Caenorhabditis elegans: one gene and its partners. The protein of the gene in region 2 purifies or fractionates together with the protein of the main gene of each other region. This does not show direct contact. Each region holds a gene or a part of one and is shown on either strand. Other genes may lie near its edges. The genes, in order: acs-11, tag-297, srh-56 and F53F4.15.

The links.
Region 1: the proteins of tag-297 (region 2) and acs-11 fractionate together in Caenorhabditis elegans (co-fractionation; one large-scale study listed by BioGRID). This does not show direct contact.
Region 3: the proteins of tag-297 (region 2) and srh-56 fractionate together in Caenorhabditis elegans (co-fractionation; one large-scale study listed by BioGRID). This does not show direct contact.
Region 4: the proteins of tag-297 (region 2) and F53F4.15 fractionate together in Caenorhabditis elegans (co-fractionation; one large-scale study listed by BioGRID). This does not show direct contact.

What each region holds. Positions count from the first base shown.
Region 1 is NC_003280.10:4,739,783-4,747,151, forward strand, and holds acs-11 (fatty Acid CoA Synthetase family), read left to right. Parts: upstream 1-2,354; 5' UTR 2,355-2,356; coding exon 2,357-2,467; intron 2,468-2,521; coding exon 2,522-2,620; intron 2,621-2,676; coding exon 2,677-2,928; intron 2,929-3,408; coding exon 3,409-4,362; intron 4,363-5,254; coding exon 5,255-5,356; 3' UTR 5,357-5,498; downstream 5,499-7,369. Other genes in the region: eas-1 (putative Golgi transport protein 1), read left to right, coding at 665-695, 743-834, 880-982, 1,031-1,106, 1,259-1,340, 1,388-1,429.
Region 2 is NC_003280.10:14,624,511-14,631,566, reverse strand, and holds tag-297 (ShKT domain-containing protein), read right to left. Parts: upstream 3,938-7,056; coding exon 3,785-3,937; intron 3,631-3,784; coding exon 3,455-3,630; intron 3,410-3,454; coding exon 3,298-3,409; intron 3,242-3,297; coding exon 3,140-3,241; intron 2,843-3,139; coding exon 1,568-2,842; 3' UTR 1,446-1,567; downstream 1-1,445. Other genes in the region: mltn-10 (MLt-TeN (mlt-10) related), read right to left, coding at 5,125-5,717, 6,309-6,510, 6,557-6,658, 6,706-6,915, 6,958-7,056.
Region 3 is NC_003283.11:2,769,608-2,775,510, reverse strand, and holds srh-56 (Serpentine Receptor, class H), read right to left. Parts: upstream 3,652-5,903; coding exon 3,306-3,651; intron 3,245-3,305; coding exon 3,054-3,244; intron 2,731-3,053; coding exon 2,500-2,730; intron 2,322-2,499; coding exon 2,243-2,321; intron 2,180-2,242; coding exon 1,992-2,179; downstream 1-1,991. Other genes in the region: srj-18 (Serpentine Receptor, class J), read right to left, coding at 1-93, 140-241, 282-593, 876-935, 981-1,169; dhs-15 (DeHydrogenases, Short chain), read left to right, coding at 5,758-5,794.
Region 4 is NC_003283.11:13,617,227-13,622,108, reverse strand, and holds F53F4.15 (Neuropeptide-Like Protein), read right to left. Parts: upstream 1,134-4,882; 5' UTR 1,103-1,133; coding exon 955-1,102; intron 909-954; coding exon 703-908; 3' UTR 633-702; downstream 1-632. Other genes in the region: F53F4.16 (uncharacterized protein), read left to right, coding at 289-423, 468-527; srd-11 (G-protein coupled receptors family 1 profile domain-containing protein), read left to right, coding at 2,423-2,533, 2,768-2,934, 2,984-3,137, 3,182-3,454, 3,908-4,098, 4,141-4,258.

The DNA of each region.
Region 1 (7,369 bases), 9.9 Mb from region 2:
GAATAATGAAATTTGATTTTTAAATTTTGTGATTTTCGAATACACTGAAATATTTTTCAGAAAGCTTCCAAATAACTGTAATCGGTTTACTCATATGACGTTTGGATTAAAATTTCAAGTAATTTCGATTAATAAAACTGATGTTCTACTTATTAATACGTTGTACCTTTGGAAATAGTCAATAAATAATTGGAAAGTCTTGTTTGTTCGAAAAAATATCGATTTGAAATCTCAAAAATGCCTTTTGTGGCACTTCCAACCAACATAGTTACTTTTTGTCCAATTTCTCAATAAAAATCGTATTAATTGAGCGAAAATACTACGAATTCAAAAGTTTACCATTCAAATTTAAATTTTCCTTTTTCCCGCCGATTTTCGCTACTTCGGCCATGTGCGAGTTTCTAGGCCACGCGGAAATGCACGGCGGCCACGTGGTCCGCAATTTTACGTACACGTCATTTCCGCGGAATTTCCAGTTTTATTTTCCGATTTTTCGCTTAAATTTTTCAATTCGAGATAAAATCAGTTTCATTTGCTAAAAAGAAACGCAAATTTATTTCAAAAAATCAATAATCTTCTTCTATTTGTTTTTCTATGACCGATTCTTTTGAGAATTTAATTTTTTTCAGCCGTTTAAAAGAGAAACCACTTGGGTCCAGTCAAAATGATGAATTTCGAAGTAAGCACAACAAAACGTAAGTTTGAAAATCAGAAAATATATGTAAACTGTGAAACATTTCAGAAATCGGAGTGGGGTTAACGACGTTCGGCTTCTTTTTCATATTTCTCGGAGTGCTGATGTTCCTTGATTCTGCTCTTTTAGCTATCGGAAATGTAAGTATTTATTGTAAATTTAAAGCATAAAATTATTATTTTCAGCTTCTATTCATTGTTGGAATCACATTTATTATCGGCGTGCAGCGAACACTTGTTTTCTTCTTCGAATTCCGAAAACTGAAAGGAAGCATTCTCTTCTTCGGAGGTTCGATCACAAGGAATTCATTATTTTAATTTAAAAATTTATTTTCAGGGATTTTGGTAGTTCTATTTGGGTACCCATTGTTCGGAATGATTGCCGAGTGTTGGGGATTTATTGTCCTTTTCGGGTGAGTTTTTGACTAAAAAATGTTGAGTTTTCTAAATATTTGCAATAGAATCAATATCTTGAATTTTCTGCTCTTTTTCTTCGATTTGTAACAAACATTTTGAACTAATCGCTCACGAAATTAAATTTAATCTAATAATAATGAATTTACAGTGGTTTCCTGCCTGGAATTGTCAATTTGCTCAGAAGTATCCCCGGAATCTCAACAATCACATATCTTCCTGGAATCCGACAGGTCAGTTCTAACGAATCAGGATTTTTATCAATTATTTCAAGTTTTAGGTCCTCGATCGCCTTGCTCCAGAATCCAAGTACCCCGTCTGAAAAGTTCAGGATCTTCCCAAAAATCTCACCAAAAATGGGTTCTATTTTCTTTTTTGTTGAAAATATTTTCTCCTGTGTTGTCCCTTCTCCTCTCATATCACGTTCGGTTCAACTACGATTTCGGCCAAAATGCACATTTTCTGTGTAATATTATTCAATTTTAATTTATTTATTATTAAAAATTTTAAATTTTATCTCATTTCTAAAATATCCCTCAGCCTTTGTTGTATAATACGCTTTCATTTTCTTCTGTTCCTAGGTGAAAAATGTGATTATAATTATTTATTAGATTCCCTTTTTTCCTTTTCTTGTGTTCTGACTCGATATCCATTACATGACTCATTTCGATCAAAAAAAATGATGTTCTATGCTTGTTCTTCAGATCAAACAAATCACGTTTTCACCACCAAAGAACTCATTTCGACGAAGGTTTCTTCTCCCTTCAACCTCTTATCTTTGTTGCCATTTTTAAGAATGACAAATCGAGAATACGAGACGCAGGGCCAACAACATCTCGTTATAAGAAACGGTCAACCCGATCAATTCACGATTTTAATTCAGTTTTCTACAGCTTCCTGTTTTCAAGCACTGCAGATTTGAAACAAAAACCTTGTTTTAAACTTAGAATCTACCTGAAAAGTCCGATAAAAACTGAAAAAGTTCTTACTCGTAGAAAAAATTATTTTTAAAAGAAAAAAAATGCAGAAATTGATGAAATAAGGTTAAAAACCAAATCAAGCATTTTTGAACATCATTTTGAAATAAAAAATTGAAAATTTACGGTATTGTGCATATTTTGTGCAATTAGAATGCGAAAACTTTGAAAAAAAACTTCCAAAGTTGAATTTTAAATAGAAGTTGCCTAATTTTCTTGAATTTTTCATTTTAAAGCATTGTTTCTATTACAGAAAATTAGATATTTCAGAAATGCTCAGTCGTCTAGTCAGCTCCGTCCATCCACAAATTGGGCTCCGTGCCGCTTCTTCTGCAGCCAACAATATTGTCAGTCAAGCTCAGCTTCAATCCGATCCTTCGAAGGTTGCTATTCAATATCCTTCTGAACGTTTTTTCCATAATTTTATAATTTTCCAGCTCCTCTTTATCGATGGCGATCGCAAAACGACTTATGGAGAATTTGTTAAACGAACTGGGCAATATGCAACTGCTCTGACTGAAAAGTACAATATAAAGGTCATTTTATCTTTAAAATTGTATAAATTCAACTTTTCAAATTCAAATTTTCTCAGAAAGGAGACCGTGTGATGGCTAGAGTATCAAAAACGACCGATACAGCTGCTCTCTACATTGCTTGTCTTCAAATCGGAGCACTCTATATTCCAGTCAATCCAGGATATACTGAATCTGAAGCTGCTCACTATATCAAGGATGCGACACCTTCGATTCTAGTCTCGTGCAATGAAGAATTGGATAAAGTTTTCAGAGATAAGATCAGGGTTATCAACGAGGATAAGTTGGCATCTGAAGCAGGAAGCTTGAATGTAAGCTGGAAAATATGAAAAATTTAATAATTTTCAAAAAAAAATTCAAAATTGAAAAAACCACAAATTCCTTGTGATGCTAATCAAGAAATATAGAAAAAAATATTAATTTTACTTTACAAATTCGTGAAAACTTGAGCCTCCAGTTTAAAGGGACACGATCTTCTTCTGCTTGGGTCTCGTCACGATCTCAGCCACCGTGCAGTATCTATTCTGAACGTTTTTAGAAAAAAAAATTAAAAACCAAAATTTTGACAAGAATATTAGGAAAATAGGAAAAGTGTTTGGAGTACAAAAGTGACTACTTTTTTTTGGATTTTTCGGTATCGAAATACCGATCAAACCAAAAAACGCCGTGATCGTGCCGAGACCCACCCGGAAAATATCGTGTGCCTTTAAACTGACATGTCAAAATTAAGTCAAAAGAAAACACAATATACATACTATCCATGCCCAATATTCAAATGCAACATTTTCCAGGCATGCACCATGATCGAACATGTCGAAAAATCGGATCCCGCATCAGTTTGCTACACTTCAGGAACCACCGGACTACCAAAAGGAGCAATCTTAACTCATGGATCATTGTCTAACAACGCACATGATATTGTCCGAGACTGGGGATTTACTGGAAATGATTATAATCTACATGCACTTCCATTCTATCATGTACATGGACTCTATTATTCCCTTCATTGCTCTTTATTCTCACATTCAACAATGATTTGGCGGTCGAAATTTGAAGTTGAAGATTGTATAAAATACATGAAAAATGCGACGGTTATGATGGGAGTACCAACATTCTTTTCAAGACTTTTGGCATCAAAGAATTTCAATAAAGAAGCATTCGGAAATGTTCGAGTATTCATTTCTGGATCTGCACCTCTATCAGTATCTACAATTGAAGAATTCAGGGAAAGAACTGGACAAGTGATTCTTGAAAGATATGGTATGACAGAAGCTGGAGTTATGACTACTAATCCATTGAATGGAGAGAGAAAAGCTGGAACTGTTGGCCCGGCTGTACAAGGAGTTGGATGTAGAATTGCAAAAAATGGAGGAATTGAAGTGAAGACAAATGCGATTTTCGCTGGATATTGGAAGAATCCAAAGAAGACAGCTGAAGAATTCACTGAAGATGGATGGTTTAAAACTGGAGATGTTGGACATCTTGATGAGGATGGTTATTTGACGATTGGTGGAAGATCAAAGGATATGGTTATTACTGGAGGATTAAATGTATATCCAAAAGAACTTGAAGATTTCATTGATACACTTCCATTTGTTAAAGAATCTGCAGTTATTGCATCTCCACATCCAGATTTTGGAGAAGCAGTTGTTGCAATTGTAGTCCCGTCGGAGAAGGTGACTGATGAGAAGGAGTTTGAGAAGAAGCTTATTGGAATTATGAAGAAGAAGGTTGCCAATTATAAGGCAAGTTTTTTTATTTAAAAAATAATCCGAAATTTCAAGATTTTTGCGCTAAAAATACGGTACCCGGACACGACAAATTTAAATGAAAAAGAGTGTGCGCCTTTAGAGTACTGTAATCTTGAAATTTCGTTGCATCGAATTTTTCATCGATTTTTTTTCATATTATGTCAAAATCTGTGCGTTTTTTTCAGTTCTATAATGAACGCATATTTTTATTCAAAAAATTATAGAAAATGGGTGAAAATTTCGCAGAAACAAAAATTTTAAGCTACAGTACTCTTCAAAGGCGCACACCTTTTTGTATTTGACAAAAAAAATTTCGCGTTTGGCTAATATTTTCTGCCATTTTTATTTTTTTGTTGTGAAACTAATCAATAAATGCAGAAAAACTTTAAAAAAATTGAATTCGTCTTGCTGTTTTCAATTTTCTTTTTCATTTTTTTTCTGTGTGCGCCAAGATTACTGTAATCTCAAATTTTCGTTAACGATGATTACTTACTTATTCAGTAAGTAATTTATTAATTAGAAGCACTAAAATAAAATTATGAAAAATCCCGCAGAAACTAAAGTTTTACGTTACAGTACTCTTTAAAGGCGCACAACTTTTTGCATTTAACAAAAATGTGTCATGTCGAGACCGGGTACCGTACTTTTGCGTCAAAAATCTCATAATAATCCCCTTAAAACTTTTTTTTTGAGTTTTCAAATTTCCATCGGACACCGCAATTCTCGTTCAGATATTTGTAATTTTTCAAGTTATAACAACCTGTTTTCAATCAACTTCTATAAAAAAAACATGTGATTTTTATAAATGTTTGATAACATACCTATTCTGCAAATAGGATACAAATATTAAAATCAAATTATCAAAGCTCAATGTCTAACATTTCAGGTTCCAAAGCGAGTGATTGTACTGGATGATTTGCCACGAAATCACATCACTAAGGTCCAGAAAAACGTTCTCCGTGACACCTACAAGAACCTCTTCGCCTAATTCCATTCCCAGTCAACAATACATCCCCAAAATATAGATATCATTTTTCTATTTTCAAATTGTAAATATTTCATAAGTATTGTAGAATCTTTTGTACAATTTTTCAACTTTTAACAGTAGAAAATAACAGTTGTTTATAGATATTTTTTGTTTCTATTGTTCTCCACACACTTTTAGGACGACGTTGTCCTCCTGACCCCGTAATCAGTCAGACTATTCTTAAGATGAGAGACATTTGATTATCAGATTAACATCAATGATATTATATATCTTGGCAACATCTTACGCGGTCAGTGTGTACCCGTTTTGGACATGTTGGAATCACGTGAAGCCCGTGAGAACTTTGGCTATAAAGAGAAGTGAAAAGACAAAAAGGAAGATAAAAAACGAAAGAGTATAGTGATTTATGACACAGATTTGCCCATGGTTTTTGCGAAACTCTTTGCCGAAACTCGATGTGTGATGTGCTAAATACTGTACTTCGAAATGCTTGTCAGCTTCCTTATGGTCTCACCACGAATTTTTTTGAATTGAAACTGCGGTGTGAGCCTTTAAAAAGTACAGTAACCACTTAGCCATTATTCCGCTTTTTTTGCAAATACATGCAAAATAAATCAATACCCAAGGAAGTCACAAAATTACGAGAGGTAGGTTACTGTACAACTTAAAGGCGCTTTCGAGAAGACCCAATTCGAAATGTTTTCATCGTGGCAGCAGCGGGTATCTTAATTTTGCAGAATTCTGAGATATCCTGTTAAAGGCGCACGGATTTATTCCGAGGCCCACCTGAACGAATCCGTGCGCATTTAAGTAGATATGTCTAGGTCCTACGAATATACAATAGCGTATTTCATGATTTTTACACGTCCAACATAAGCCTAAACCTAAAGAAAAGTAAGGAAATGTACCATTTTGCAAATTTTTCTATAAATTATAAATTTACTTTTAAGGCTCCCACTGCGGGCAAGTACGTCTTCAGGCGTGTCTACCTGTTCACATGCCTACTAGGTAGGCCCCGGGCAGGCGTCGTTCGCCTTGGAGGCTGGCAAAAATTGTCCTGAAAATAAACTTACAAATCTGGAATTGTTTAAAAAAACCATCCATAAGTTCCTCGAAGTAGTTCCCCATGCACCTAGTTTGAACCTGCTGGGATCAAAAATTCCGCTGTAAAATATCCAAACGGGAGCGTGAATGAATCATATACAATTCGTCAAACATCTCTCGGTCCAAAAAAGAAATACAAAGAAAGATCTATAACACTTGTTATTTCCCCCGAACAGTGGTTAGTCGCCACCACCCACGCGTAGGAATTTCTTCGAATTTGATAAGAGAGCTATTGAAAAAGAAAAAGGCGACTTTCAACTTTCAAAAATCAGAAAAATGTGACTTCGCCTTCAAAGTGATCATTTCAGAAGTATTTTCAATTGTAGAGAGTGTACATAAAATGGAGAGACATCATGGAGACCTGAAAGTTTTATAAATGGGAGGACGATGGACGGAGTGGTCGGACCTGGACGACGACACTAGCCATTGTTTTCTTCGTTTTAGTTTTTTTTTTCTGATAGCTGATAACTATTTTTTCTTTTTGTTCATATTTTTGAATGGGTCTTGCAGCGAAAAAAGTCCTTCGCTTATTTGAAATTTATTTTTGTTCTTGCTACTTTATCTTAACATTCCGAAGTGGGTGCACAAATGTATTCTACTTTCCCGACATTTGGGCAAAAATACGGTTCCCGGTCTCGACACGACAAAAAATGTAAAAATAAATATATTCTTATCGGGAATCTATCAAAAATTGATTAGTCTTCCAAAAAGCAAAATTACAGTACTCTTTATAGGCGCAAACCTCTTCGCAATAAAACAATTTGTCGTGGCGAGACCCGGTAATATAATTACATAATAAATTTTTGGGTCCTTAAGTACGCATTTTATAAAGTTGATAAATTATAGTTTAAACTTTTGCAGTTTGAAGCTTTGCTTTCACTCATTTTTCTTAAATTTTCTTACCTTATC
Region 2 (7,056 bases):
GGATGTACTCTTTTGATCCCAAGGGTGCGAGCATTCAGGTTTGCCGTGCAAGAGAAACGCAAATGGCTGACTATACCGCTGGTTGGTAACCATATTATTTGAATTTCAACTTTTTTTTTAACTTTAGAGCAATTCATATCTTTCTACCGGAAATTCCTAATGATGTGGAGACCAAAGGATGGGGATACGGACTTTTTGAAGGTTAATTTGTTGAGTAAAACGATGGAAAATCTCACGGCACGGATTTCCATGAATCTTCAAATCGGAACCAATATAACTGCACCCTTGCATGAGTGGAATTTCAAGTTGACTGGGAGATTTGTAATTTGAGCTTTGTAACCTTACCTGTAATTTTTCAAAAGTATGTTTAGGACGTGGAAAACGAAAAACTGTTTATCACTAACTTGGAGTGGTTCTGTCCAGTGACCGTTGATCTCATGGATCTTTCACTTATTGCGATTCGCGAAGTTGTTGCAGAGAAGCTTGACGAAGTTGCAGCGGACTATACACCAACGTTCACATTCTTCTCATCCGTGGATTTTTTGAATCGGTTCACCAAAAATCTGAATAACTTGAAAACCGAAAGTTGTCTGAACGGATCCATGGTGTCCATGGATCATTTCCGTGAGTAAACAGAAATTGAAAATATTGATTTGTTTTTCTACGTTTCAGACGATCTCGAAGTAGTTTTGGATCATCAACAAATTCCTATAACATCAGTGTTCATGTAAGTTTTTCTTCCAAGAATATCATCTTAAGTTGAACTTTACAGTCTTACCGTGTTCAATATGAGGACATTGTACTTCCTGCTGAAGCGAAAACTCACTTTATGATGCAAACACACGCGGGAGGAGATTTTATGGATCCCGTATTCCATACAATGGTAGGCAAACGGGACTACGAGCACAAATGGTTCTTCAATCTTGAATGGGTTAGTTGCACTGTTCTACCGTTCGTATACCCATGAATATTTTCAGGATAACTTTGACCAGTTTTATTACGTGCAAAGCTTGAAGGTTGAGGCCCATCGGTAGTCTTCCCAAATGGTCTGTACACTAAATGGTTTACAGGATATTGAACTTTTTGATTCGAGATAAATTATTTTGTGTTCAGTCTTTTAAAATTGTTCAAATTATTTCTGAAACCGCAGTGTCAGGGTTCTGTCTTTGAAATTTTTGAGGGTTCAGGCTTAGGCTTTGGCTTAGGCTCAGGCATAGGCGTAGGCGTAGGCTCAAGCATAGGCGTATGCATAGACGAAGGAGTAGACGTAGGCTCTGGCTTAGGCTCTGTCTTAGGCTAGGCCAACTAAAACTAAAATATGGCCAAAAATGAAAATTAGAATTGAAAATTGATTGTATCGGTGTGTTCAAAACAACATTTGTTAAAGTGGAGGGGGCAATGAGAATAATCACCCGATCTCGTAGTTCCAAACAGGATGTGAATATAGAGATCAGAAAATTTATTGTAATAAAGAAATAAAAAATATATACAAACAATCAAATTTAAATTAAGTCGAAAGACAATCAACATTGGTAGAAAATAATAAATATGAATTAGGTATCTTAAATCAACCTCTGACCGTATTCAAAAAGCCTCCGAGACCGGATAAAAAGTTTCCGCCGCCGGAAGTTCTTTTGTAATCGGCAGCTTCTTTTTGGAATCTATCTTCTTGAAGTTTTTCAAAAGCTCCACACTTCTTATCCTTCAAAATATTTGGAATTGAGTTTGCAGTAGTGGCTGCCTCAAAGAGCAAGTTGGTCTTGACCTTAGCTCCCTCAATGTCATAATCGACAACAGCGTGCTGGCAAGCAAGTAGACGATCTGGATCTCTCTTCGAGACCCAGTATTCCAAGAGTTCGGAGTTGGTTGGGGTGTAGGATCCCTGGTCAAGTGAGTTGGCAGCAAGCCATTCTCCAATGATGGCAAATTTGAAAGCTTTTCCCAGAAGCGGGTTGTCGATTTGGGCGAAGAATTCCTTCTCGAGCTCCGGTCTAGTTTGCCCACGCTCGTAGAACTTCATCCAGACATCTACTGCTCCTTGCTTCTGCCAATAGTCTTTCTGCCAAACAGATTTAGAAAATGCGGTGCACATTGTGAAGTTTGGATCCTCTGGTGGTGGGCACAGCTTGACAGTTAATCGGTATGTACGTTCGCCGGTGGCTCTGCAGAGATTTCCCTCGGTGTTCTCCAAAAGTTTCAGCTTTCGAGATTCCTTGCACCAATCACAGTAGAAGCATTCACGACCGCAGGTGGCAACATCCATGCATCGGAGCTTTCCGATTGGTTGGATGGAGACATCAAGCTTCATGGCGAGCCTATTAATATGAACTCCTGGTGGAAGAGTGACATCAATTCCCATATCAAAGCAATCTGGCCATGTGAGGTGAACAGTTCCGTCCCCTTCTCGTTGAGATGGATGGCTGAATGTTGGGTTGGCTAGCTTAATTGGCTGAGTGCATTCTTGACCGGTCAGCTCCTTACAGCATGGTGCTGACCTGACATCCTTCAACTTTGCGATGAAAAGATTTTTGGAAATAACTGCTTCATAGGATTTCGGCCCGGTTTGCTTGACGGATCCGGTTCCAATTGGCACATCCTTATCATTGTAGACTACAGTGTTTCCATTCTTATCGGCAACAACCTTTCCAACAGAATGTCCCTTGGCGTCATAACACTGGGATACTCCTGGTGTCTCTGCTGTGCAATGATATTTGTTGTTTCTTCTGCCGAAAAGCGATTGCTCAAGATCGGTACCGACGAGGTTGTCAGCTGAGAGAGTAGCATCGGTTTTCTTGCCGGTTTGGGAGATTGTGTAGGCATATTTTCCGTTCTTGTTCTTTTCCTGGAAAATGTTGAAAGTTAAATATTTGTCCTCATTTGTTAGTTAAAAATTTTTTTTATAAAAGGTATGCGGCATTTTTTCCAAAAAAACTTTAGATTTTGGCAAGATCGACAACTCCCGAATTTCTTTGGAAGCCGATGCCATAATAAAGTTTCGGGAAAGAAATAATGAATAAATAGATATAAAATAATCATTTGGACCCGCAAGAGTCCGGTGATTTTGTTGTTCCTAAATTTTTACAGTGAATATTTTTAATCTGGTAAGTTTAAAGATTAAATGTGAAATTTCATAACTCACTCTATCCAAAAACGACAAAGTTCCATCTCCGGTGTTATTATTATGAGCGTGTGGGTTCAGCTTGAAATTGAGCCTTTCGTTGTTGGCTTCAAATTCGGTTTTCTGAAAATATCAAAATCCCATTTTGTTCGTTTTTTTTCCTTCAAAAGTACTCTTACCGATGGATCTCCTTTAAGATCTCCCTTTGCGACAGTATCAAGCTCGTACTTTCCATCAGCTTTGAGCAATGCGTGCTCACCTTCGCCGTCGGTTTTTGTGCGGAGTTGAGCTCTGAATTTAAGATTTCGCCTAATAATTTAATTTCCGACCACTCACTTGTGCCCGTCAACTGTAGCGATTCCTCCCTTATCTCCAATCTTCTGCACTTGAGCCCTCTTCCCGTCGAAAGTTTCGGCGGCAGCGACATTTCCGGAAGAAGAGGCGCTGAATTTCTGCTGGGTGTTTAATAGATCCAGAACAACCTTTTCCTTGTTAGATGCGTCGAGAGATACCTGAAACTTTTTTTTTTTAATTGTTAAGCATTTTTATTTCCGTTTAATTGAAAAGATAACTATGCGAGTTTTTTCGAAGATGCATCTAGATTTAGATAAAAATCGGAGTACAACTTTTGAAAATTTTCATATTTGAAAAATTCATTTCACTAACCCTCTGAACTTCTTTCTGCTTCTTGTCCAACCACGATGAGTCGACCTCAATGTGCTTCCTCTTCTCATTCAGACTAACATGATTTGGCACCAGGCTCTGCGCACTCACAGCTACAGTTAATGAGACTAGGCAAAGGAGAACTCTTCTCCGCATCTGAAAATTTCAGTTTAAAAAATTTAAAGTATTTAGGAAAATGAGAAATTTTGCGATTTGGTATCCGATATTTTCCTCATACTCGAAAACACTTCAAAAACACATCATTTTATCATAGCAACTCTTCTCGACAAAATTTCAGAAAATTTTATGGCGGCTCAAAATTTGGAAAATCTTAACTCTGCTCGTATTTTTAATATGGCTACCTATGCATTCAAATTTTACGTAGTATAATATGATTATGATCAAAACATTCATTTCTGACGACTTTCAAATTGGCCCCAAGTTGGCAATTGGCAATTGAATTTTACAACTTTTTTTGAATTTTTCGAATTTTTTTTTGAATTTTTAGAGCAACATAAATACAAATATAGTAAAAAATTAAGATGAACAAGAACTATCGCTGATGATTTTGGATCAATAGGGATAAAAAGAGAACGGATAGGGAGATAAAAGATAATCAAAGTGGAGAGGATGTAGGGCAACTACTATGTCTATTTAACATTCATCGAACGACGAGGACGACGGTTGAGACAAGCGAAAGCCTAATGAGATGTATGGGGACAGCTGAAGGAAAGTGAAGTGATGTTGGTGGTGATGCGCAAGTTTAAGATCGGCGTCATCGATATAATTTCGTTTTGAGAAAAAGAAGCAAATGCGGCTGGTGGTAAATGATGATCCTGTTTTTCAGCTTTTTGGTGAATCTCCATTTGCCTTTTTATATTTCTACACCGGCTTGTTTCCTCTTCTTAGCCAATTTGTATGTGTTCAGTTTAAAGTGATACTTTGCCGATGAGTCAGTTAGATTAAATTACAAAGAGAAAGTTTTTTTAGTGTAGACGACTTCAGCGACAGGTGTCTTAAAACTCACGTCAGTTGATATTCCAAAAGTTCAGATATTTTATTGGTAAAGTAGACACACTTCGGAGAAGTTTGGTTTTGTTGTGTAGGAGGCAATTTTTTAAATCAATTTTTAATATTTTGGATGGCTATAAGTTCCATGTCAAAATTCATAACTGCTTTGAAAGTCTGACAAAAAATAGTTCAAAAATTTTAATTTTTCTTCTTCATGTTTTACCCACAACTTGTTTAAATATAATAGATTGCAAGGTAATTTTAATCTCTCATTTGAAACATCACAAATAAACTCTTATTATGTACATATTTTCTGTTATATGTAGTATGTGTCATGAAAGTACTGTGGGGGATAAAACTGTGGCCATAATATACGATTTTGAGAAAACTGCAGGAGAAAAGCTGTTGGGCGAGAGTATGACGCCACCTAGAACCATTGGAGAAAATACATCCGGGCACAGGAACAGTGGTGAAAGAACTAACGGGCTTAGCACATATGGATTGAAAATGTTTGGAGACAACACATATGGATTCAGGATAAATGGAGCCATAACTAATGGGGAGAAGATGTATGGGGATAGTAGATATGGTGAGAGAATAAATGGTAATGGTACTGCCGGAGAAAATATCCATGGAGATAATACCGAAGGGTTGAGAATCAGTGGAGAAAATATGTTGGGGGAGAAGATGACGGGACCTAATACAGATAATCCGTAAACCGGAGAAAACATGTACGGAGTGAAGACAGTCGGATTCAGTGAAGTGTATACAGTTACGTCGCCAACTCTTATGGTTCTACCACGTTTCACTCTTCTCACGGGATACGCGATGTTTTCGATGGACTTCCAGAGGGAGAGCATTCTTTCAGATTTGGTGTAGTTACGGTAGCTTTGCATTTCAGGTTTTTGCAGAGTTGAGTCAGCGCCTGGAATGAATAAAATTTAGATTTTTAAACTAAAGTTTCTATTCAATCACCCTTACTTGTTCAGCAAAGGTTAAGATTTTGATTGTTAGGCAAGGTTAAGATTTTGATTATTTAAGATTGTGTCATTAATTTTTAAATTACGTTAAAAACTTGATAGTAGGCGCGTAATTATAAGGTTGATACATTGACAGAAAGGTAGTTAGCCGCAAAGTAAACACAAAAGTCAGCCAAGTAGGCAAGCAGGCAGATAGAAGGTAGATTCGTACATAAGCTAGTGGGTAGGCATGATAAAGACACCTAGCTCAGCCACGTGGACAGGCAAATAAAAGGTAGTCAAGTAGAAAAGCTAGTAGGCATGGGGTAGACCCAAAAAAATGCAGATACGAGGTTAGGCAAGCATAGAGTAAGTATACGGTAGACACAATCGCAGACTCGAGATAAGTCTCTTTTATATTTCTCTATTCCATAAACATTGAAATTCTGACTCGGTATTTTTGCGTGCAAAATCGTACCTACTTGGGAAGTTGACGGAAAAGGAGAAAAATTTGTTAAGTCAAAAAAATTATGGTAATTATTTTATTTGGTTCTTACCGTAGTTCCCGAAAAGATTCTCCATTTGCGGCATTTCCAAAAACGAGAATCCGCTTTCTTTGAGCTCAGTTTTCTGATTTTTGCTCAGTGACTTTTCAAGATTCTCAAAATTCTGACTCATGTTATCAGTTGCTGATAAAACGGCCTCCTTCTCTTGCTGATTTGAAAATGATTGCTTCTCAGGATTGAGAAGCTTTATCATCTGAAAATTAGAAAATTTCAAAAAAAATTTCGCGGCAACTATGTACTTTCATGGCCTCATCCAAAATTGGTCGGGTTCTGGAAATTTCCATGAAAAACGCTAGGAGTCGGTCTTTTTCGGATTTTTCGAAAGATGACTTCTCGATGAGCTGAAACTATTATTTACGGAACCTCAGAATTAAAAAAAACTGATTACATCTGGAATTGGAAAAAACTGTTCCTCCACATCATCTTTATAAAACGGAAAGATTGATGGAGACAATAATCCTTTTGAGTTGCTGGGCATCAGAGGAGCAATTCTTGGGCTTAGAATTCGAGCTGAAATTCCTGTCTTTTGATTTCCAGCCATACTTGAGACCAGTTTCAGACCATCCTGTATTAACGGATGATTTACTTGACCGGCCATCTGTAATCAGAATAAAACTTGGGATGTTACCTAGTAGATTACCTCAAAAGGATTTTCAGCATGAACGTCGTCGTCGTCTTCTAGAACGAGATCATACGCACGGTGCTTGATAGTTCGATAAGTGGATGATCGACTTTTTTC
Region 3 (5,903 bases), on a different chromosome or scaffold from region 2:
AATAGTTAATGCCCAGAATAGTCGTTTTTGCATTTGCGCAGTTTTCAGACTCATAGTTGCCGACCCTTGATTTAAACCTGACATTATCTGAAACTGAATTAAAGTTTAAAATTTCAAATTAAAATTTTTAGAAACTCACTTTATAACCTAGGACAAAATATAAAGTCATAGAATAGGAAGCAATAACTGTCACAACTCCAGTTCCTATCCACGCTCGGAAAACTATTCCTGAAGAGGCTTCCTAAAAGAATTGCTTCGATTTTATTTTCAGAGACATTTACCGCATATACTGCAATTTTTGTACTAATTGTGTTCACATCCACGCCGTATTCTTCTTGAAAAGCTTGTCTCACGTAATTCCTTGATTCGTCGCTCGAATACATAGTTGGCTCGACTACAAACGTCCATAGACCGATATGGAATATCACAAGAAAAATCGATAATATCAGACCGTATGGCATGAAATAATGACTAACAAAACTTGTATTTTTCAGGACATTATAGCGAAAAATGAAATGAATGTTGAGGATTCCATAGGTTCCAGCAATAAACGCACATCGCAAGGATATTAAGGTAGGGGCAAAGTTGGAACGCTGAAAAAAGGAAAAAAGTATTCGAAAAAACTCAATTCAATTTTAACTATTTTAAAGGCTCGTAGTTGTGCTTCAAAAAGATTAATCACACAATACAAATTTTTTTTGGAAATGTTTGTTTTTTGTTGAAAAAAACTGTAACCTTTTTCAACAAAACCGGTCGAAATGTTTTAGTTTTTTTTTTAATTACTTGTTGTAGATTTTAATTATTCGGATAACAATTTATGTAAATATAATATTGTTTGAACTCGCAATTTGAATCTCTATCATTCAAGATATTACCTCTGAAAAAACACTATCTACAATGAAGAATACAGCCGCATAACGATAGCTATAAACACACTGAAAAAATTGAAAAGTTTGGATTTAAAAAATTGAAAAACTTACGGCTGGTATCAAAATATCCACAACTGATGCAGTAAGATTAAAAATTGCAAAAAAGTATAAAAGATAGCGATAATCACCGAATTGAATCACTTTTTCCGTACGTATCAGATATACGAATACAGGATTGGCTATGAAAGACAAGATAAACGTTATTTTGGGAATGATAAAGTGAGCCCAGTTGATAAACATGGAGTGCGTAGAATATTCACCGAAAGCAGCTTATATGTCAAATGACAAAATTTTGGTTCTGAGAAGAATGTGTTGATACGTGCCTAACAAAAGAGAATGTACCTAACATTAATCTCATTATACATACTAGGTTGTCTCATTTTTTGGCAAGTTTTCACAGACACCTTATTAGTTCCCACGATGACATGATGTAACAAGGACATAGCTCAAGCACGGAAAATTTCCAGTGAAGCGTGAGTAAGTAGCAGGTCAGTGAAATCTCTAGAAACTTTTCACACGCTTCGATACTTGAAAATTTTTTTTTTCGATTTTTGACAATTTTTCGAAATTGTTGAAATTACTGAAATCGGCAATGTTACCTGAATTGCCATAATTTTCAAAAATGCCGAAAATTTTCAAAAATCTTAAATTGCCAAGACTGCCCAAAATGTTAAAAAACTTCCGAAATTGCCAAAATTCATGATACTGCTGAAATTGGTGAAAGTTCTAAGTTTGTCCAAATTGCCCAAATATTTTAAAACTGCCAAAAAGTTTGAATTTGCGAACATTGAAAAAAATTGTCAGAAATCCTAGAGTTATCGAAATTACCAAAATTGACAACTTTGCCGATATGGATAAATTGTCAAAATTGCTGAAATTCGTGAAATTGCCAAAATTTTTCAAAATTGATGAATATGCCAAAATTGCCAAAATGGCTCTCACTAGCAAGATGCGCATCTGTTTCCCGAGTGAAAATAGTCAAGTTTTGTCCAAAAAAAACATATTTACTAAATATTTGTAAAAAAATCTTGCTTGGCAAATAAAACGAAAATTTAAAAAAAACTAATTAGACACACTTCCATGTGGAGACGTCACAGGTTCCACGATGATAGTCATTCTCCGTTGTGAAAATCGTTGTCCAGGGATCAGACTTTTAGTGAAATCTCTGTATGGTTTGTAAATAAAAAGGGTGCAACAGGTGCATAGAAGTCCGTGATTTGCCATAATTAGCATAGCGTTGTTGTTGTAGGCTGCAAAAGTTTGGAACGTGTTAGCCATGTTTTGGCTTTTTTAAATAATTTGCACTTTCTCACCTTGATTATAGTAATTCATTTTGTCTGCATACATAGTGTAGGCCACAGGAAATGCAATGGCAATCCATGGAATTGAGATCTAAAAAAACACATGCTAGAATTAAATGTTTAAAATTTTAAAAATTTTGTGGTTTTTCAATTTGTCAAAAACATTTTTAAATTTTTAAAATTGAAACAAACCCATTTAAATTTTTTTTGCATTTTTTTGCAGTTTCATTTGGCTATTCCAGTTAATTTTCAGTTATAGTTATACTCACCTGAATAGAAACATTCTTCAGAAACTTTCGCTGAAGATTCTTCGTCGCCGCCGATATTTTGGCACTTGATACTAGTGTGAGGTGATAAACGGTGTGTAACAAAAAGAAAAAAGTTTGGAAAATAACAAATCCAAAACCAATTGTGATTGACCAGAATGGCAAGACCTCTCCGCCCTGCAGCAGTACATAGGTTTTTGGGTCCCAGAATTCGCTCGTCGGACAGGGGATTCTCTGTAAAATTAAGTTGAATTTGAAGACGGGTGTTAAATACACACGACCGAAAAATATAATAAACACTTCAAAAGTTTTTAGTTATTCAAAAATTGACATTTTTGAAAAAAATTGAAAATTCCCGCAGATCTGAACTCCTAGAATGTTTCAATATTATTAATAAGAACGCAATTAATTCAAAAAAAATCTTTTGGTCGACTTCCAAAATTAGGATATGTGAAAACTGAGAGTTTTCACATTTTTGACTTTAAATATAAAATTTTATAAAATTTTTTGAACATTTCTAATATCTCTGAATGGGCATTTTAGTACATTTTACTAACCTCCAAGACCTTCTGTCTCATTTTCAATTGGTCAGTGTCGTCTAGATAAAATGGAAGCATAACAACAAATGTGAATAAATAGTTTAATGCGAAATATGTTAAACGAGTTTTTCTCCGTTTGATTTTGAATCGAATCGTGGAAATTTGACTATGTTGATTTTCATAGAGCATTATAAAACAGACACCCATCACTGAAAAACATGTGGTATTTGAAATTTATATTTAAATTTCCTAAAAGATCCTAAAACTTACTAGTGACGGAAACCTGTCCCCAATACGACTGCCACTTGACACCTACTCCCAAATATCCTAGAAGCCCAAGGGGTACTCCGGAGGCACTCGGAAAAAATATATACGGCCCCGAGTACACTGTGAACATCAAATCGAGATTTGTGCTCCAAGCCAGGGATATTAAAAGTGGGATTTTCATATTTTTCATCCGCTTTGGCGTCTTTGTTATAACTGTGTAAAATGTGAATATGGATAGAGGAACTGTTAAAAGTGCTGTGAAATGATATGCATTGCGCAGATAGTCTGCCGAGCCAAAATAGGAGTAGGTTTCCCGGCAGTTTGAGGTGTTGTTGTCTGGCCATGCCATTGGTTTCCTGGAAGATGTTTAATATAATAGGTTTCGATAGGAATTCCGAAAGTGTTCACAAGCTAAGCGTTACAAGAAAAATTCCTTAAAAAGCCAGAAAACCAGAGCCTAAAAGTTCAAAGCCCCATTTGCATGTAAAATGATCCGCGCGGTAGAGTTGGACGCGCCGAAAAATTCTTGATCGTTGATGTAATACCACCGTAATCCTGCTAATTTGATAATTTGAGGTGCGGAGTTTTCAATTTTTTTTTCTCGGAAATTTATTTTTCTAGGAGGCTCTGACTTGGAGTTTCGATGTAATGCTAAATGCTGTGTTAGTGATTAGGGACATTTAAAAAGGGAAATGTGTTTTGTGACAGATCAAATGATCATCTAGGTTGGCGATGCAAAACAATACGGCAAAAAAGTGTAAAAAACTGATGTCTTGCAGCGGACATTTCCCGGGTTAATTGGAAAGTAAATGGGACCCCACATCTTTCCTGATTTTTTGTCCGGAATAGAGGCTTTACCAGAAAAATCTTTACAATTAGTTCTTCAATTTTTACAGAAACCTTTTTATTTCAACATTTCAGAATCCTAGGTTCAACAGCTGGAAATTTATCAATTGGACAAAAACTTGGTTTTAATTCTATTCAAACAAGGGCCTATTCAAAAAAATTGAGCTTCTTATCCACCTAAAAGTAACGTTTGATCCAAATTATCGGGCTAAGAAAGGACTAAGAGTAGTCGGTGCTGAAGATGAAGTCAAAATTGAAAATCAAAGGTTTGGGGTACATGTCAAAAAAAACAATTGTAGGAATTGCTAGAAGAAACTCAGCGGATTCAGTTCGAATAGTTGTTTGAAAAAAGTAGATCCTCATAATTTGTTCGACTTCTAATTTGACCAGAAATCTACTACACCGCAGTAGAAATCAGGTATCCTGCTGTGTTTTGTCTGTGGCTTCTTAGCTGCCGAAGCGAGAAAAATGCAAACAAACTTCGAAAATGTCATAAATTTATGCTATTTTTGCAAACTTAGTGACGACCTAACAAATCTAGAAAAATTGAACTTTCTACCAAATCTAAGTAGATTTTTTTGGAAACCAATAGATTTAGTTATATTCCAAAAAACTACATACTTATGAAACTCAGAAGTAAAAGCTTTCAAAATGTGACTGAACTCGCCAAAAAGTTCAATAAAATGAGCCGCGCGGTAGTTGTTTCACGCCGATAAACATTTGATCGTTGATGTAATACATTTCCACAAACCTGCTAATTTGATCAATCGGGGTACACAAGTTTCCCAATTTCCTTATTTCTCAGAAATCGTTTCTCCAGAAGGTCGTGTTCAAGTACTTTTCTGACTTGAATTTTTGATTTATGGTTAATTGTAAATGTTTCGTGACCAGGAATCTTTCAGAGAAAAACTTCTTCTTCATCAAATTACATAATTAAATGTTATTTGAATATTTAAACAATCTGATACTTATTTTAAAAGTATGGTAAATTTTTGTAAAGTTTTTGAAAACCTCAGGGGTCCTGAAGCTGTTGTGTGGTCGATTTTTCAATTTTTGAGGTATCAGAATTTAATTATAGGTACGAAGTTTTTTTTTAAGAAAACCACTGTCTGGATAAAAAATTATTTTTCTGCAGTGTTCCTACATTTTTTGTACGAAAGTTTTCTGGCGCCAAAATGAAAGAATTTACATTTTTTAGATTTACCTTCCATTTGGTGTTTGCGAGTCATAAATCGAATTCCACTAAAATAACATTTGCACACAATTTAGCACAAAACTTTATAGCCGCTAATTAAATCTTGCAACTCATAGTTTGAGTCCAAAAATCTGCGAGGACATTGAGCCTTAGATATTTTAGTTTAACCGAAAAAAAAACTCAAAAACTAGCATTTGTCTACATGGTCAAAGTTCATCTCTCACAAAACCGAAAAAAAGTTTAATCTGTATTAATTTGTTTATCGAGAGATACCCTAATCGGCACGCGACCTCACAGTCTGGCGATCCTCCCATTTTCAACACTTGAACGAACAAATTACATTGCGGGCGTGCGCGGCAGTATATAAATTTTTGAGATTCACTTTTAGTGACCAAAATCTAGTACTTGTCAAAAATGGGTAGATTCTCTGATAAAGTTGCAATAATTACAGGTAAGGGTTTTTTTTAGAAAATGTAGTGAAATTTTTCATCCAGTACCTTCAGTCATTTTGTAAAATAGTCTGTTCAATTGGGGGAACATATTTGTTTGGAATTTATTAA
Region 4 (4,882 bases), on a different chromosome or scaffold from region 2:
TGAATTCAAGTTGTTTTTCGTTTTTATTTCTTTGGTTTTTATCCATTCATAATTATGCTTTCAAAGTTTCGAGAAGAAATTAAAAAATCTCATTAATTTCGAACTTAAAAAAACGTCAACGAAACATGAATAAAACTACATAGAAATTCACTTTTTTGTTGAAAAATTATCAATTTTACCAATTTTTGTGATTTTCGGTGATTTTCTAAATTTTGAAAAATTGAGTTGAATCTTTCATTCTACCCATAAAAGAACTAATTTTTCTTGACTTCATGACTTTTATTCCAGATGAGTTTACCCTGGTATCACCTGGAACGGCCTGCTCGAATGACCTTGCTACGAGCTTATTATACTGTATGTGCACTCACATATCCTACATATGTGGCGATCAACTACAAAAGTTATATTCCAGACAGAGCACAGGTAAAATTAAATCTAATTAGTTGCAGTTAATGAAATATATTTAGGTTCTTGGCGGAAAATCACTTCGTGACGAGATTCTACATCCGGCAATCGTCAAAAACTAGATCTATCGATGTGCAATTCCTCATCATTCTCCGAATTTTTGTCAAATACGAGTATTTTTCCGCCATTATCATTGGTTTTGAGTTTTCCCCCATAGGCCCTTTTCGTTTTTTTCTTTTAGTTTTTAGTCGTTGTTTGTTATCATTTTAAATTTATTCATTCATTAAAATTATTTAATTATGGATTGATGAAATAGTTAGAATAACGATACAATCCCCAGACTGGCTTGTTGGGATTGTAGCCATAATTAGGATAATATGGAATATTATCATCATAGACAGTTGGAAGATTTTGTTGAAGAAATAGACGATCATAGAATCCTGTCCGAGCAAATGCAGACGGAGCTCCACGAAGATTTGCTTCACGATCTTCCCGTTCTTCTACTTCAAAAAGTAATATTAAATTCTACAACTTCTCCGTGAAACCTACAAATCTCGGCAGCAGTTTTATCATGTTCACATGGCCAGACTTTACGAAAATTGACTCTTTCCGGAAGGCACATTCGACCAGGTGGCATTTCAATAGAATAACCAATCAGGAGAGTGAAGCAAAGAATAGAGAGATGAAGAGAAAACATTATTGATAATCATACAATGGGAAAGAGAAATATGGAAAAGACGATTAGGTGAAAAACTTCAAGAAAACACGATTTTTTGGTGATATCTCAGTGATCTCGACAGATTGAAAAATATGGGCGAACTGGATTCGCAATGCATTTTTGTATGTAATAAAGTTAATTGAAAATTAACTTTAAAAATATAAATAGTTCAGATTTATCAGGTTTTCCAAATAACAACATAATTTTTGAATAACGATGCATTAGGTTGTAGGTTGGATTTAACTTCTACCGTTTCACTTCCAATTTCTCAGCGTAAAAGCCAATCGTTATTTACCTCTGAAAGAGAACAAGAATGAATTCTTAAAACTTGCCTATATTTTTCTCATAAAATTTTGTAATTCGTGGACATCGCCTTAACCAAATGTATTATTACGAGATCACTACTTTCTGAGAATGCGTGTTGTGCAACATATCTGACGCGCAATATATCTCGTAGCGAAAACTACAGAAAATATTTAAATTACTACTGTAGCGCGAAATATTTTGCGCAATACGCATTCTAGACATCTAAAGATAAGAATTTTCGCCACATCTTAAATACTTATGCGCACGGTCTCGCCACGCTGACAACGAGTTACTGTAATAATGCATTATAATTTTCGTTTCAAATGAAACATTGCTTCTAAAATTTTTAAATAAAAACATGATCAGTCATAAATCAGCACGAGTTACAGTAGTCAGTAGTCAGCGTGGCGAGACCCAAGCGCGTAAGATATGGCAAAAATTATCATCTTCAGACATCTATGTAATAGATTTAATATGATTAAGGCGTCGCTATTTTGATGATCTGTAAATTTTTTTTGACAATTGTCTAGAACATCAAGTTAACTTAATGTTCTAGACTATTGATATAATACGAAACGACACAGATATATCCCAGACTATGAGTAATTCAAACAGTACATATATTCTCAGGTACGCCAGACGCTTTCTACTGAATGAAGCAATTAACAGCTCTGAGAGCCATCACGAGGAAGCATAAATAGAGATATCTTACGTGCACATGATGTGTTTTCCTTCCTTTTTCGAAAAGTCGAGTGAATAGATATGATAATTGTTTACTTTTTTACGGATTACGGAAAATCTAGTTCCCAAAAAATTATTTATTTTGCAAAATTCTTAGCATTCCTTAGAACAATATAATCATTCTGTAACCATAATCTTCACAGTCATCGTTCCAGTGAAGCCTTAAAATAAAGATTTTCTTTCTATTGAAAAATTTATATTTAAGAGAGAGCTTTTACCATTTTTTTTTTCACTTTCAGAAAAACTTGAAAAATGCTGGACTCTATCACATTATTCTTCCTTTCTTTCCATACGTTTGCCGGAGTTTCTGGCTGCATTCTCAATTCAATTGTGCTCTTTTTGGCACTTTTTCGGACTCCGAAGGTTAGTTTTTCGTGAAAAATCTTTGAACTAATCATAAAATATAGATTAAAATCAAAATTTGAGAGCTTTAGTTCCCAGTTTGGTAAAAACTGTGCAAATCTCGTAATATAGGCTCAGCTTTCTACAGAACTCTGCCATTATAACTAGGTGTGGGATAGCTGGAAATGTTCTGCAGAAATTCCTCATCACATAGACAAGCAATTTCAACCTTCAAACATCAGTTTCCATTTCCAGACAATCGCCGCTTACACCACAATTCTCATAAACTTTGCATTGACCGATTTCCTCGCCTGTTTCACAGATCTTTTCATTCAAATGCGGCATATTCCGGCTGGATTTACAATGGCTTATTTGTCACGTGGACTGTGCACTTATTTTGGACCCCATGTCTGCTATTTTATGTACACCATAATACATATTCCCCGACACGCTTCATTTTCTTAATTTCAGATACAGCATAAACATTTCATTAGTAGCTCATGGTCTATGGTCATTGCTAATGGGGTTCTCATATCGATATTATATCCTGTTTCATCCGGCACCAACGAGAAAAGCTTTGATAGTAATTCTTATGTTTATATCAATTCCGTCAATTATCCAAATGGTAATAATGTGAAACAATTTAGATTTCAAGCTGATACTTTTAAGATAACATTTCTGTGGGCAGACGATGACGCAGATGAAATGAAGCGAATTGTCGTCGAACGATTTCCGGAATATCAACTTCAAAACGAAACTATTTGCGGAACAATTAATATTATTGAGTTTTCTGCAATGTTCACAATTCTACATATGACGTGCCCAATAACACCAGTCTACATAACTATTTGGATATTAAGAAAAAAGATTATTGAGAACCTTACTTCTAATTCAAAGGATATGTCATCAAAAACTAAAGAAATGCATAAGCAGCTATTGAAGGTATGGGCGTTCGGGTAATAACAAAACGATTACGGTTGATGCATGATGCTTTCTTTTATGGTTGGGGTGGAATGAGCAATGTATCATAAAACATGACAACATTCGCATCCAAGTTAGACTAAAAGAACTTTGCTTAGCAGCTGGTTAGATTTGGACAAAATTTGAGTAGAAGTATGGTGAGTAGAAGTAATAAACTTGGCAAAAAAGTTTGAACCTATGTTCTAGGTTCCTAGGATCGCCCGTAGTCCGCCTTCGTCAGTGAGCTAATTATTAAAAAACCTTACTTTTAGTTCAAAAAATTACCAGATATCATGTAGGATTTCGGTGGCAACTTATTTTTGTTGCACTTATCAAGTTGCCTCCGAGACGATTGAAATTTTTCAAACAATTGATTTCTGCATTAAAAACGTGACGAAATGCTTACGAATTACTTCAAACGCCAAAACCTTTCAGGCTCTCACATGGCAAGCCATGATCCCTGGCTTTTACGGAATGAGCATTGTATCTTACGTCATTGGGCAATTCTTTTTCAATCACCCCGTATTTGAATATCTCACGCTCACAGGATTCCTTTTTATGCCTGTTCTTTCTCCACTCTCTTGCCTGATATTTATTCAAATTTACCAGAAACGAGTTCTATCATGGTGAGCTTGAAACAATTATTAAAAAATAATTCCTATTTTCAGGTGGTACAAAATGATTGGAAATCCAATTCCAGATGAGTGGCTTACAGTGTTGAATGCGACTAGAACCAATGCAACATCAAGTGTCGCTCCTTCAAATGAAATCAAATCTAAACATTGAAATTGAACTAATCGATCTTTTATTTTATCAGCACGTTTTTTGTACCTACTAACCACCCCTTATCAACTTATATAATCCCAATAATATTCTCCACTTTGCAGTCACTTTTCTGTCATTTTATTTTAAAATGAAAACTAAGAGTTTAGTATTCATATTTCTCCCATTCTTGTTTCAATTCTCTATTGCCGGACCACGAATCAATTGTTATCCTGAACCATCTGCAAGTCAAGTTCTCTGTGAAGCACGTGGGTGTATCTGGAATCCAATTGATAATATCGATGGATCACCATCATGCTTTTTCAAAGATGGTGTCGGATATAACATTGATTCTCAAAACGGTTCTACATATAATCTTCAAAAGAACAATGGTCCCAAAAATCCATGGGGCGACGATTTTCAAAACATTCAACTGAAAACAAATATGGTTGGAAGTGTTTTAAATGTGAAAATTGGAATAGATGGAAGATATGAACCGCCCATTGATTTTTCCAGAGCAACACTTCCCTCTTCAGAGACTCTTTCATTTATTACTGAATCATCAGATGATCTCTTCTGTTTTTCTGTAATTCGAAATAGTACAAACCGGAAAATCTTTGATACTTCAATTGGTGGATTGGTATTTTC